Linked DNA regions of Danio rerio. The protein of the gene in region 1 purifies or fractionates together with the protein of each later gene. This does not show direct contact. Links are inferred from orthologs where the notes say so. Each region holds a gene or a part of one and is shown on either strand. Other genes may lie near its edges.

Region 1 (3,657 bases):
CTGGAGACACCGTCACAGTTTCGGCAGAGGGCTCAGAAAGAGGACGCAGCGGCATACAAAGTCGATTATACTAGGTGCTTGTGTTACTGTGTTCTATTCTAAATGCACGTTTGTAGGATGTGTAAATATAAACACACACACACACACGTAAGGTATAGAACAGAGTGTGATCTCATTTCCTCTATGTTGTATGTATTTACTATGTGAAAATGTTTAGGATTTATTTCATATGAAGTCATTTACTGTTATTACATTATCAAGTACATCTAATGTGTGACCAAAAAAGATGGTCAGTTTACTATTTTGAAATTAGGTTTGCAAATGTACAGTGGGTACGGAAAGTATTCAGACCCCCTTAAGTCACAGCAAACGGTCTTAATACTTAGGACAATGTGATATTATGTTTTCCTTTTTTGATAAATCTACAAAAATGTCAGTAATTCTGTGTTTTCTTGTCAATATGGAGTACTGTGTTTACATTAATGAGGGAAAATTTACTTAAATGATTTTAGCAAATGGCTGCAATATAACAAAGAGTGAAAAATTTAAGGCCGTCTGAATAATTTCCTTACCCATTGTACATCTATCACAACAAATGTCAAACTGAGTTTTCTTTTCCTTTTGCAAAAATTAATGTACACATTTTTAAAAAATAATCAATAATTTAGAACAGTTAAATTGTTTATATTGTTTTATAATGATTTACTCCCCAAACTTATTGCAGCTTCCGACCCAGAATATTATATTCTTTTGAAATATAAAAAAAATACAGAAATATCTATTTAATGCATAAAAATATGTTGTTTTGAAGTTTATTCATCAGAAAATCCCAAAAGAAAAGTTTGTTTCCACAGAAATATTAAGCTTTATTAATTACATAAAGCTTTAACATTTAATAACAGTGTTAGTTAAGCACAACATAAGCATATTGAAAGGAAATTTTATGTGGATCATGTTACACTGAAGGCAGCTGAAAATTTACAACATAGGAATAAGTTCAATTGTAAATAAAATATAGGGAATTAGAAAACAATTTCCATTTGTAATGCTTTTTCATAATATTTATGTATTTACCATCTGTGAGGATTAGAGACTTTCAAACACAATAAAATATCAAATTTGAGTCTATCTTAATCTGAATATACAGAGTCATTAATCTAATTACTGTTCATTTGTTTTATTACTATTATTTCTGTGTGTGTGTGTTTTCAGGTGGCTGTGTTACTGTCACGTTCCTCAGAGCAATGACAGCTTGCCACGGTATGAGACCTGTCAGGTGTTCGGCCGCAGTTTGCTGAAGTCCATCTTCACTGTCACCCGCAGACAGTTACTGGAGAAGTTCAGAGTGGAGAAAGACAAACTGCCGCCAGAGAAACGCACCCTCATCCTCACACATTTTCCAAAGTAAGACACGTTACCATGTTATCAATACAAACTTCAAAACTATCACTCTCTCATATCCTGAGTGTGTGTGTGTGTGTGTTTGTGTTAGGTTTCTTTCCATGTTGGAAGAGGAAATCTATGGAGAAAACTCTCCCATCTGGGAGGCAGACTTCACCATGCCAGCCTCAGAGGGCACACAACTGGGCCATCAAACAGGTGTGTGTTTTTATGGAGCCAGATCAGTTTCAAAAATAATACATTTACAAAATTAATTTAAAACTTGCACAGCACAATTCACATTCACAAAATCCAATTTGTAAATTCAAAGCACAATTCACAAATACTACTCATAAAGATAAATATAACTCGCATTCATAAAGATAAATATAACTCGCAAATCATAAATATTTTTTACAGGATGAATTGGATTTATCTGTTAATAAATCGTGTTTTAAATTTGAATACACAAATTGCATTTGTGTATTTTTGAATCGTATTCGAATTACGAATTAGATTAGTGAATTTACGAATCATGCTTTGAACTTATGAACTGGTTTTTGTGTAATTACAAATCATGCTTTGAACTTATGAACTGGATTTGTGTGTTTACAAATCGTGTTTTGAACTTACGATATGGATTTGTGTATTTTTGAATCGTCCTTTGAACTTATGAACTGGATTTGTGTATTTACGAATCGTGTTTTGAACTTACGATATGGATTTGTGTATTTTTGAATCGTGCTTTGAACTTACAAATTGGATTTGTGTATTTTGCAAATCGTGCTTTGAACTTATGAGTTGGATTTGCGTATTTATTAATCGTTTCAAATGTATGAACAGGATTTGGGTGTATACGAATTGTTTTGTATTTTGAATCGGATTTATGTATTTAGAACAAAAAATTTGTGTTTTGATCTTGCGAATTAGATTTTATAAATGTGACTTTTGTTGTGGAAGTATGAATAATATTTTGTAAATATATTATTTTTGAAATTTGATCTGGCTCTATAGTTTTTGGTGGTTCCAGGGTAAAAGTATTGTAATCGATTGTAATTATCGGCAGTATTTTTTGAGACTTTTTTCAACATTCATGCCAAAGTGATTTTTCACTGGCAATGAAATGAGTGAATGTGCAAAATTACTCTTGACGTTACACACCACAAAAAAAAAAAAAAAACTCCAGTAAACATAGTGTCGCTGCACAATGACGCTCGCTTATTACACAGAAGAAGATAGCACCCTCATGCTTTTAACTGGTCTTTATTGCACAGGGTTTTCCACTTCTGTTTTCCCCCCTTCACTACAACACAAATACCTGTTTAAAAAAGTTACAAGCTAAGAAAGAAAATGAAGTGGAATGAAACTCACTATTGAATCCTTCTTGATAATTCCTGTGTGCTCTTCTACACCTTTTTTTACTTGAGTGCTACCAAGTCAGGTTTTTACTGTAACTACAGCAGCTCAGGACATGGAACAAAAGTGCCAATATCATTCAGGGCTCGAAATTGCGACCATTTTGGTCGCATATGCGCCCGAAAATTAATCTATGCGACCTCATAATATATATGGGAGCATTAGTGCGACTGCAGATAATGGTTGTAGTGCGACCTGTTTTGATTTTTTGTAAAAACGTGCTGAATCGCTCTTCCCTGCCGCTATATTGGTTCATATTAGCTGTCAATCACTCAAGGTATTCCGCTGTCAGATGACATGGAAGGAGCTTTTATGACCACAGGAAATGCAAACGGCTGAAGAGTGAAAACTTAACTTAAAGCACACAGGTTTGCAAACCCCACCTAAAGTTGAGGCGCAGATGAGAGCGATCATGACACGTCACGTGGTGAGTAATGATCCACCAGCTGAGATCAATCGAGTACGCGCTTCTTAGAGAAGGCGCCCGAATCTCCATGCTTTGCATTCACTGCGTGTTCAGCGCAAATGTCCGCTAAAAGTCAAATCTAATACTGTACATATCATCGCCAAAGAAGCTCGCCTTTACTAAGTACAAAACAGCAGTACAAAATAAATATTTCTTACTGCAATGCTTCATTTTTGTTTAATGCAAACTATACAATTATTTTTCATAAAGTAACAGACTTTTTATAGCAGATAATTCATGCACATTCAAGGCAGTATCATAATGAGAAATGGAATTCATTGTTACTATTGTCATTTTTTATCATCATTAATATTCTATGGCCTAATTATTAGACATTCATTTTGGAATTATTGCACACAAATATCAATGTCTTTGCAGCATTAGTTAGATAGTTG
Region 2 (3,127 bases), about 2.5 Mb from region 1:
ACACCAATATCTTCTAAAGTAGCATAAAAAGGACGATAATGCGGTTAAAGCATACTGTAAACACCCATATGTGATGTACTGCTTAGTCACTATTGAGTTGTCCTTTTCCCCCCTCTCCCTCTCTCTTTTGCCAGTTACATTGAAATCTATTTATTTCCTTTGTCTTTTACATGGCACTGGTTCAGCACATCCGCTTCTAGTTATAAGAGTTTTATACTTGATAAAGATTTTACATGCAACCCTCAAACAGTATCAGGACTGGAGTAGACTATAGGGAAAACTCACTGTGTTGATAGGCATTAATACATGACAGCGATAACAGCCACACATTTGGTGTCCTGTGTAAAAATCTGTATATATGCAATGTATTTACTGTAGATAAATCAAGACGTGTGTGGGAACCACAAAGCATTGGATACTTTGGTTCTTGTTTGAATGGGTTGCACTTTTTTTTGCTCAATATTGTCAGAAATTGAATATGGTTTTAGGGGAAACTACCTATTCTGTTTGCTTTAACAGACAACTAGCACCTCTTTAATGCTTTGTTTTTGCTTGAGAATAAAATAGCTCATATTTGAAAGACACTTGTTGAGCATATTTTAATGTGAGCAAACAAATGACTCTTTCATTCCTCAGACTTCAGAAATTAAATGGTGAATTACTTCAAAATGAATATTTACTTCAACCATTACAAAGACACTACAGTGCATTGAGAGACAGCAAGAACTCGGCGTCACAGACGAAACATCCACTCACAGCAAGGACAGTGTGAATTGTACCAATTCTGTCCATTCACAACAAACACAAAAGCTCAAGTCATTTCAAACTCTAAAATTCACTAACGATCAAACAATGACAACATTTTCACTTTAAAAAAGACAAGGCGTCCATAGGGGCTGGATTTGATCCATCTTAAGTGCATTTTCAATTGCTATACGCATTTCTGATTAGACTTTAACAAACTATATTTAATACAAAACCATCTAACGTTAAATAGTAAGTGCTTTGAAGATCAACAAACTCATTTTAAGTCCATAATGCGAGGAAATGCATACACATATCATGATTTAAAACAAAACAACATTCACACAGCAGATCAAATAAATACAGGCAAAATATATTAACCATGACAGCAAACAAGAACAGCAAACTCCAAAACACACAAGGCAGAAGATTGTGTGCGCACAGATTTGGCAGAAAGCTGCTGGTAGCGCTAACCAAGTTCATTAAAGAGACAGATCAGCCACAATTGAAAATTCACATTATTCACTCACGCTCATGTGCTTTTAAACACACACACACAAAAATTGTGAAGAATGCTGGAAAACACTGATTTCCATACTCTCATTTTCCAAAATATCTTCTTGTGTAAACTCAAAAAGGCTTTAAACAAGGGTGAGTAAATGATTGCAGAATTTTCATTTTGGGGTGAACTGTCCCTTTAAGGGAGAGCAAAAGAGAGTATATTGTTTGGCATTAAAAGAGCATAGCCGAGCCTATCAGGTTGCAGAAAGATTAGCAAGACAACATGAAGCAGAGACGTCCTTTAAAAACCACTAAGCACCTGACTGAATTACATGAGCCACCAGGGACAAAATACTTGCAACAACCCATTCACATACAAACTGTCCAACTCTCACACACACATCACTGTAAACCCAAATCTCCTAAGAGATGACAGTGAACTGCATAGTAAAATCAAAATAAAGCTAGTTCCATTCACACAATATATATATATATATATATTCAGTTAAATCACTCACTGTGCAACACTGTGCTGTAACAAATGATCTCTTCATGCCTGCAGAAGTCTGAAAAGGGGCCCAGTCTTTACACACACGTCACGTTCACGTGCACTGAAATGGGGGAAACTAAAGACCAGATAAAACCTCATCAAGTCAGTCATGATTGGGTGTGGGTGTGTGTGTGGGATGCATGTGCCTTAGTTCAGGTCATCATAGATGCTGGGTGCTGGAGGAACTGCAAGTTTTGGTCGCTTTTTCCGACTTGAGAGACCCAGAGCATTCTGGGAGCTGCTACCGCTGCTCCCGCTGCCTGCTATTCTGTCTCGCTCCTGTGCTTTATCCCTCTCTCCTGCGGGAGTCAGAGAAAGCGTGCTGGGCTTCTTCTTCTTCGGTCTCTTGGATTCAGAGTTATTGGTGCCTGAGAACGAGATCATGTCATGACAAGCAGATACATGTGGCGTCTTGACAAAAAAAAAAAGTCTTCAGGAAACTCACTGGCTTTTGAAGATGCCGAGTCTGATGGGGAGATGTCAGAGGAAGCGTCCCAATGGAGACGGGACATGATGAGCTGGCCATCAGGGGGTTCATAGGCCTCGTTTTCCAGCATGGTGTCAGCGTCTGGTAGTGTTGACCTGGTAAACAGAAACAGGAAATGACTCTCTCGTCAAAAACGCTGAATTGGCACCTCAGTTCAAGGAAAAAGTCGACAGATGGAGTATGACACCTAAACTACATTTTCCAGTGATCTGACCTGGTTTCTTGTCAGCAATTATGTTATGAGTTGAAACGCTTTAATTTGAGAAATTAACATCTTTCAAATCTGACTCACAGCTGCTTTCTTAAATAGAAACTAGACCACAACATCAGTGTGCGGATTATGGAAACATGCAGAGTTGATGAAAAGGAGAGGTGGAATCAAGCTTCCTCATGACATAACACAAAGCATGAGGAGGTCATTTAAACACAGACAGGGTCTTATTTTATAGCTAACAAATTAACAAGAAGCTTTTTATACTAGCCTAAAGGTCTTTTGCACACTGAAGTCTGACATTTTTGCATGCGTTTTTGCATATCCAGTCTGACGCGTATTCATTAATCCATTATGAAAAAACGCAAAACGTTTCGGAGTAAGTTTAAGCAGTGATACCTTCTCCTGTCTTCTCCAAAGTAGAAAAAGCAAGAGGAATAGGCTGCATATTGTGTTCATCCAATACTGCATTGAGGAAGGAGAGATCAGCTTATTATCAAAGAGCTGCGCTGGATTATCCCAGAATGCAACATTTATCAGGAAATCAGTGGAATTTTGATACATTGCTTGAGACTTCACACATTCACGTACGTAAACATCCTGAACGGAGACTGGCAATACCATAGACATTATA
Region 3 (4,151 bases), on another chromosome or scaffold:
ATTTCAAAGTTCCAACCCTTTATTAAAATCAGAACTACAATCTTTAGAAAGTGCTCAAACATGTTGCTCCTTAACGTGATGCGCACACCATGTGTACGTCACTCCCATGTGCACCTCCTTTGGAAATGACAAACTGACTCTAAGCTTATTGGCATTGCTTCCAAGGTGCGCGCTCGGCAGACACATTTTAATAAAACTATAGCGCTTCATACCGAAACTACATACCAAACTTTTTTTGTTACTGATATCGACAATGGTGTTCAGTTAATAAATACAGTTAAATCTTTCTCCTAACCATCTCAGGTCACGTATTTTTTATTTATATTTTTTTCATACAAGTTAAAGAAATCATAACTACTGCGCTTCTACCACCTCAGTTTCCCAGAACTTCTGGAGCTTGTTTAGTCATAAAAGCCTGTGATCTCGATTTTTATCGCCCAGCCCTATGCTTCACCCCTGAGCCTGACATCATTATTAGACAATTCAACACCCAAGTAGACCCATATTCCTATGCTTTGCTCAGTCCAGGGTGCAGAGCCCTTGAATGGGGACTTAAATGTTACCATGACAAAGCAAAGCAGCAACCACAGAAATGTTTTATTGTTTATTTTCCGAGCGATTAAATTGAAGTTTTATAATTATGTTTTCAAAATATGCTGTCAATTTCAATCTCTTCCAGTACTAAACACAATTCTTACCTATGAAGTACTAAGAGAAAGTGTTGGTGGTATTTCACAAATGTAATTGAGTATTTAAGGAATTTAATTGAGTGTACTAGAGGTTATAGGAGGAATGTGTTTTCTGCAGTCTGTTTATATATCAATAATAATACAATTGGTTACAGTGAAGTAAGCATTAGTCTTTAATCAAGAACATGATCTTTCAACTGTTAGTTCTGCAGCTTTATCGTACGTTTTTGTTTTTTAATTTTTAAAAGTTAAAACTTTTCTGTGTGTAAATGTAACTTCTTATGAACTTGTTTTACATGAATCCACTACATTTCAGAATATACTAACCTCTGTTTAAACTTGTGAACATTTCAGTGCTGTGCAGCAACTTTGATTTAACCTGAGCACATTTGCATGCATTCTCAAATATGTATGTTCTTCAGGAACAGCAACCGATTACATCTTTTCTGTCTATTTTTTGTTATACACTTAAACCTGTGTAATTTAGAATCTGAACGGTCTGTAATTAGTCTCTCATTGTGTCACTCAGGTGCCCACATACTGCTGCTGAGGAGAGAGCACCACGATGAGGAGACAGTAGGCACCCACCATAGTATGGCCGCGTCCCGCTCTTCGCGCGTCACAAGATCATCAGTGGGGATAAATGGATTGGATGAGAACTTTTGTGGCCGAACCCTCAGGAACCGCAGCATCGCCCAGCCGGAAGAGAGCTCTCCGCCTCCCGTGCCCAGAGCTCGCTCACCCAAAAAGAAGCAGGACTGTCAGCAGCACCAGCAGACCGGAGCACAGGTTGGAAAGGTAACTGAGAGCAAAGCGGAGGGCGAACCCGTGCCTGCATGTGGAAAACGTGGCTTGCCGAGCTCCGAGAAGGAAGATTCGGACAAATTTGATAACTGTGAGCGTCAAAGGTCTGGGTGTGGGCCTGAAGCCTCACCTGCCCTGAAGAGGGCCAAACGCTGTCCTCGCTCAGGTGAATCACAGGGGGCAGAGGAAGAGCCTTCTCTCAAACCCGAGAGCCCCGATCCTGCTGTATTGAAGGAAAATGACGATGGCGCCAAATCAAATAATACTTCAGCCTCAGACAAAGAGGCTGATCAGAAAAAGGATGGCCCAACAGAAGAGATCGCCCCTCAACCAGAGGTCAGCGAGAACGTCAAAGCAACCAATGGCCTCGCTGAACTCTATAGAGAGGACTCAGAAGTTGCGGCCTTACCTGTGGAGCCCTGTGCCTCCCCTGCCACACTCAACAGCAGTCCCTCACTGTTAAATGGCAGCCAGGCTGCGCCCTCATCCCCCGACCCTATTGTGCCTTGTAGATCCCCTCATCCCAAGCAAACCAATGAGCCCGACAGCCCTAAAATTGACTGTGAGAGGAACTGCACACCTGAGGAAGCCGCTGAGGCTGTGCTGTCTCAGGAACCCGAGATGGAGGTAGAGGTCGATGTTGTGGGAGAGGCTGGCCAGGCTCAGGATGAATTCGTGAGAGAGGAGAGCACCAATGGTGACTTTCAGGCTGAACCACAGGACCCTTCTGACAACTGCTCGAATATCTCAGGAGAAACGCTGTTGGCTGCTTCTCAGCTGCCCGCCGAGCCCCCCTCCTTCACAGAGCCTCAAGAACACCGCTACACCCTGAGGACTTCACCGCGCCGCGCTGCCTTTGGTAGCGGGCTCAAAGCCAGCTCCCCCAAACCCACTTCCCCACACATAGACAATGGTTCACTGAAGGAAGAGACCACAATGGTTCCTTTTTTCTCAGAGGACACCAGCCATAAAGACCCTTCCCATGATGCACTGGGACTTTCTTGCGAGGCAGACAGTGAACTTTTCGAGGAAGAGGTTGTCAGCGGAGAGGTCGGAGTGTCTGATAGTAGAGAGTCAAGATCCACCAAAGAGCTGCTGGCTGCTCAGGCTGAGGAAGATGAGGAGGAGGAAGAGGACCCAGATGTCTACTATTTTGAGTCGGATCACTTGGCTCTCAAACACAACAAAGAGTATGTTTAGGTTTACGTTCTTTCATTTGAATCTTTTTCATAATTGCGGTGATTCAAGATTATTGATTAGAAATTTGCTTTTGGCTACCCCAAACCCAGCATTTAAACCCAACAACCCAACTTTGAATACAACGGACATGAATCATGTAGCTTTATGAGAAGTCTTAAGTCGACTGTCAGCCAGAAATACTGTAGGTTAAGAAGTATGTTTTGGTTGACTTTTATGTCTGTCACCAGTTTGAACCTGTTAAAAAAAATCTACAAATTAAAAATCTTTGATCCATATTCAGATTTTCAGATCAGCTACATTTCTATTAAAATTATTGGACTTTGTTGGTGATCTGAAAATCTGACTGCAACTGTAGTTTGGACAGACCAGAGCAATGTTTAAAAACCTATAGTATCGTTCATCTGTTGCTTTAAGGAACCTCATAATGGCGCGTTTTCACTAAGCCGGACGGTACGGTACGGGTCTGTACGAGTCACCTTTATCAGGGTTGCGTTTCCATTGCCAAAAGGGTACCAATGGTACTCTTTTGGTGGGCATGGTATTCAACAGAAAGTTTCAGTCAACGTCCTTCTAGCTTGAGGAAATGTCAAAGTAAAGCTGTGCAATCAGTGCAAACCTCTCATCTGTATCTTTAATCTTCACCTGCGGTTAAAAAAGCTATTCATAAGTTTATAATAGTTCAAAAGGCGACAATAGTAGTTAAACATTGTCGTTTGTTCATGGTTTAGGTTGCTGAAAGAATCATTTGCTCATTTGTTTTTTTGTTTTTCTGGCTTCTTTTTTGTTTTTTCGCACTATACTCTCGCGTTGGTCTGTTTCTGAAAGGATTGGATGTCTGAAGCACTTTATTAATCATGCGCACGTTATTATAATCAGCTCAAAAAGTTTGTTATTTCAAATATAGAAGCATGACGAACGCACACAAGACAGCAAAACTGCTCGCCCTTTAAATAACTACTGGCCACAGGGTAGATTCTGCTCTTTTTGGCTTTGTGGCTGTTCATCAAGACAACGACAAGGTTGTTTGAGCTCAGGTCAACCATGGTTCGTTATTATATGTATATATTATTATGGTCTAGTGCAGGGGTCACCAATCTTTGTTCTGGAGGGCCAGTGTCCCTGCAGGGTTTAGCTCCAACTTGCCCTAATCCACCTGCCTGAGTGTTTTAAGTATACCTAGTATTGTACATATGTATTTGATTAGGGTTGGAGCTAAAATCTGCAGTACACAGACCCTTCAGGAACAAGTTTGGTGACCCCTGGTGTAATGTCTCAGCTGTGTATTTAAAAAAGGTGATTCCTTTGTTTTTATTCTCCTGCTTTTGCGTGTAACGTATCTCTGTAAACCAGTAGCGTTTAGTTGCACGTCTTGCTCCGCCCTTTGGTACCCTTTTGTTGTGCTAGGTACCCTTTGCAAAGGGTACCCAAAAGTGGTACGGTTTGCTTTTTAGGTACCTT

The links.
Region 2: the proteins of kat2a (region 1) and atxn7l3a purify together in Homo sapiens (affinity purification with mass spectrometry; 10 studies listed by BioGRID and IntAct, counting the BioPlex papers as one, with this or other methods). This does not show direct contact. The link is inferred for Danio rerio from reciprocal best matches to the Homo sapiens genes KAT2A and ATXN7L3.
Region 3: the proteins of kat2a (region 1) and zzz3 purify together in Homo sapiens (affinity purification with mass spectrometry; 5 studies listed by BioGRID and IntAct, with this or other methods). This does not show direct contact. The link is inferred for Danio rerio from reciprocal best matches to the Homo sapiens genes KAT2A and ZZZ3.

What each region holds. Positions count from the first base shown.
Region 1 is NC_133178.1:16,337,940-16,341,596, forward strand, and holds part of kat2a (histone acetyltransferase KAT2A), read left to right. Parts: coding exon 1-74; intron 75-1,212; coding exon 1,213-1,404; intron 1,405-1,492; coding exon 1,493-1,599; intron 1,600-3,657. UniProt on the Homo sapiens protein: Protein lysine acyltransferase that can act as a acetyltransferase, glutaryltransferase, succinyltransferase or malonyltransferase, depending on the context.
Region 2 is NC_133178.1:18,805,831-18,808,957, forward strand, and holds the end of atxn7l3a (ataxin-7-like protein 3), read right to left. Parts: intron 2,378-3,127; coding exon 2,241-2,377; intron 2,164-2,240; coding exon 1,943-2,163; 3' UTR 574-1,942; downstream 1-573. UniProt on the Homo sapiens protein: Component of the transcription regulatory histone acetylation (HAT) complex SAGA, a multiprotein complex that activates transcription by remodeling chromatin and mediating histone acetylation and deubiquitination.
Region 3 is NC_133177.1:9,148,056-9,152,206, forward strand, and holds the start of zzz3 (ZZ-type zinc finger-containing protein 3), read left to right. Parts: upstream 1-1,283; coding exon 1,284-2,683; intron 2,684-4,151.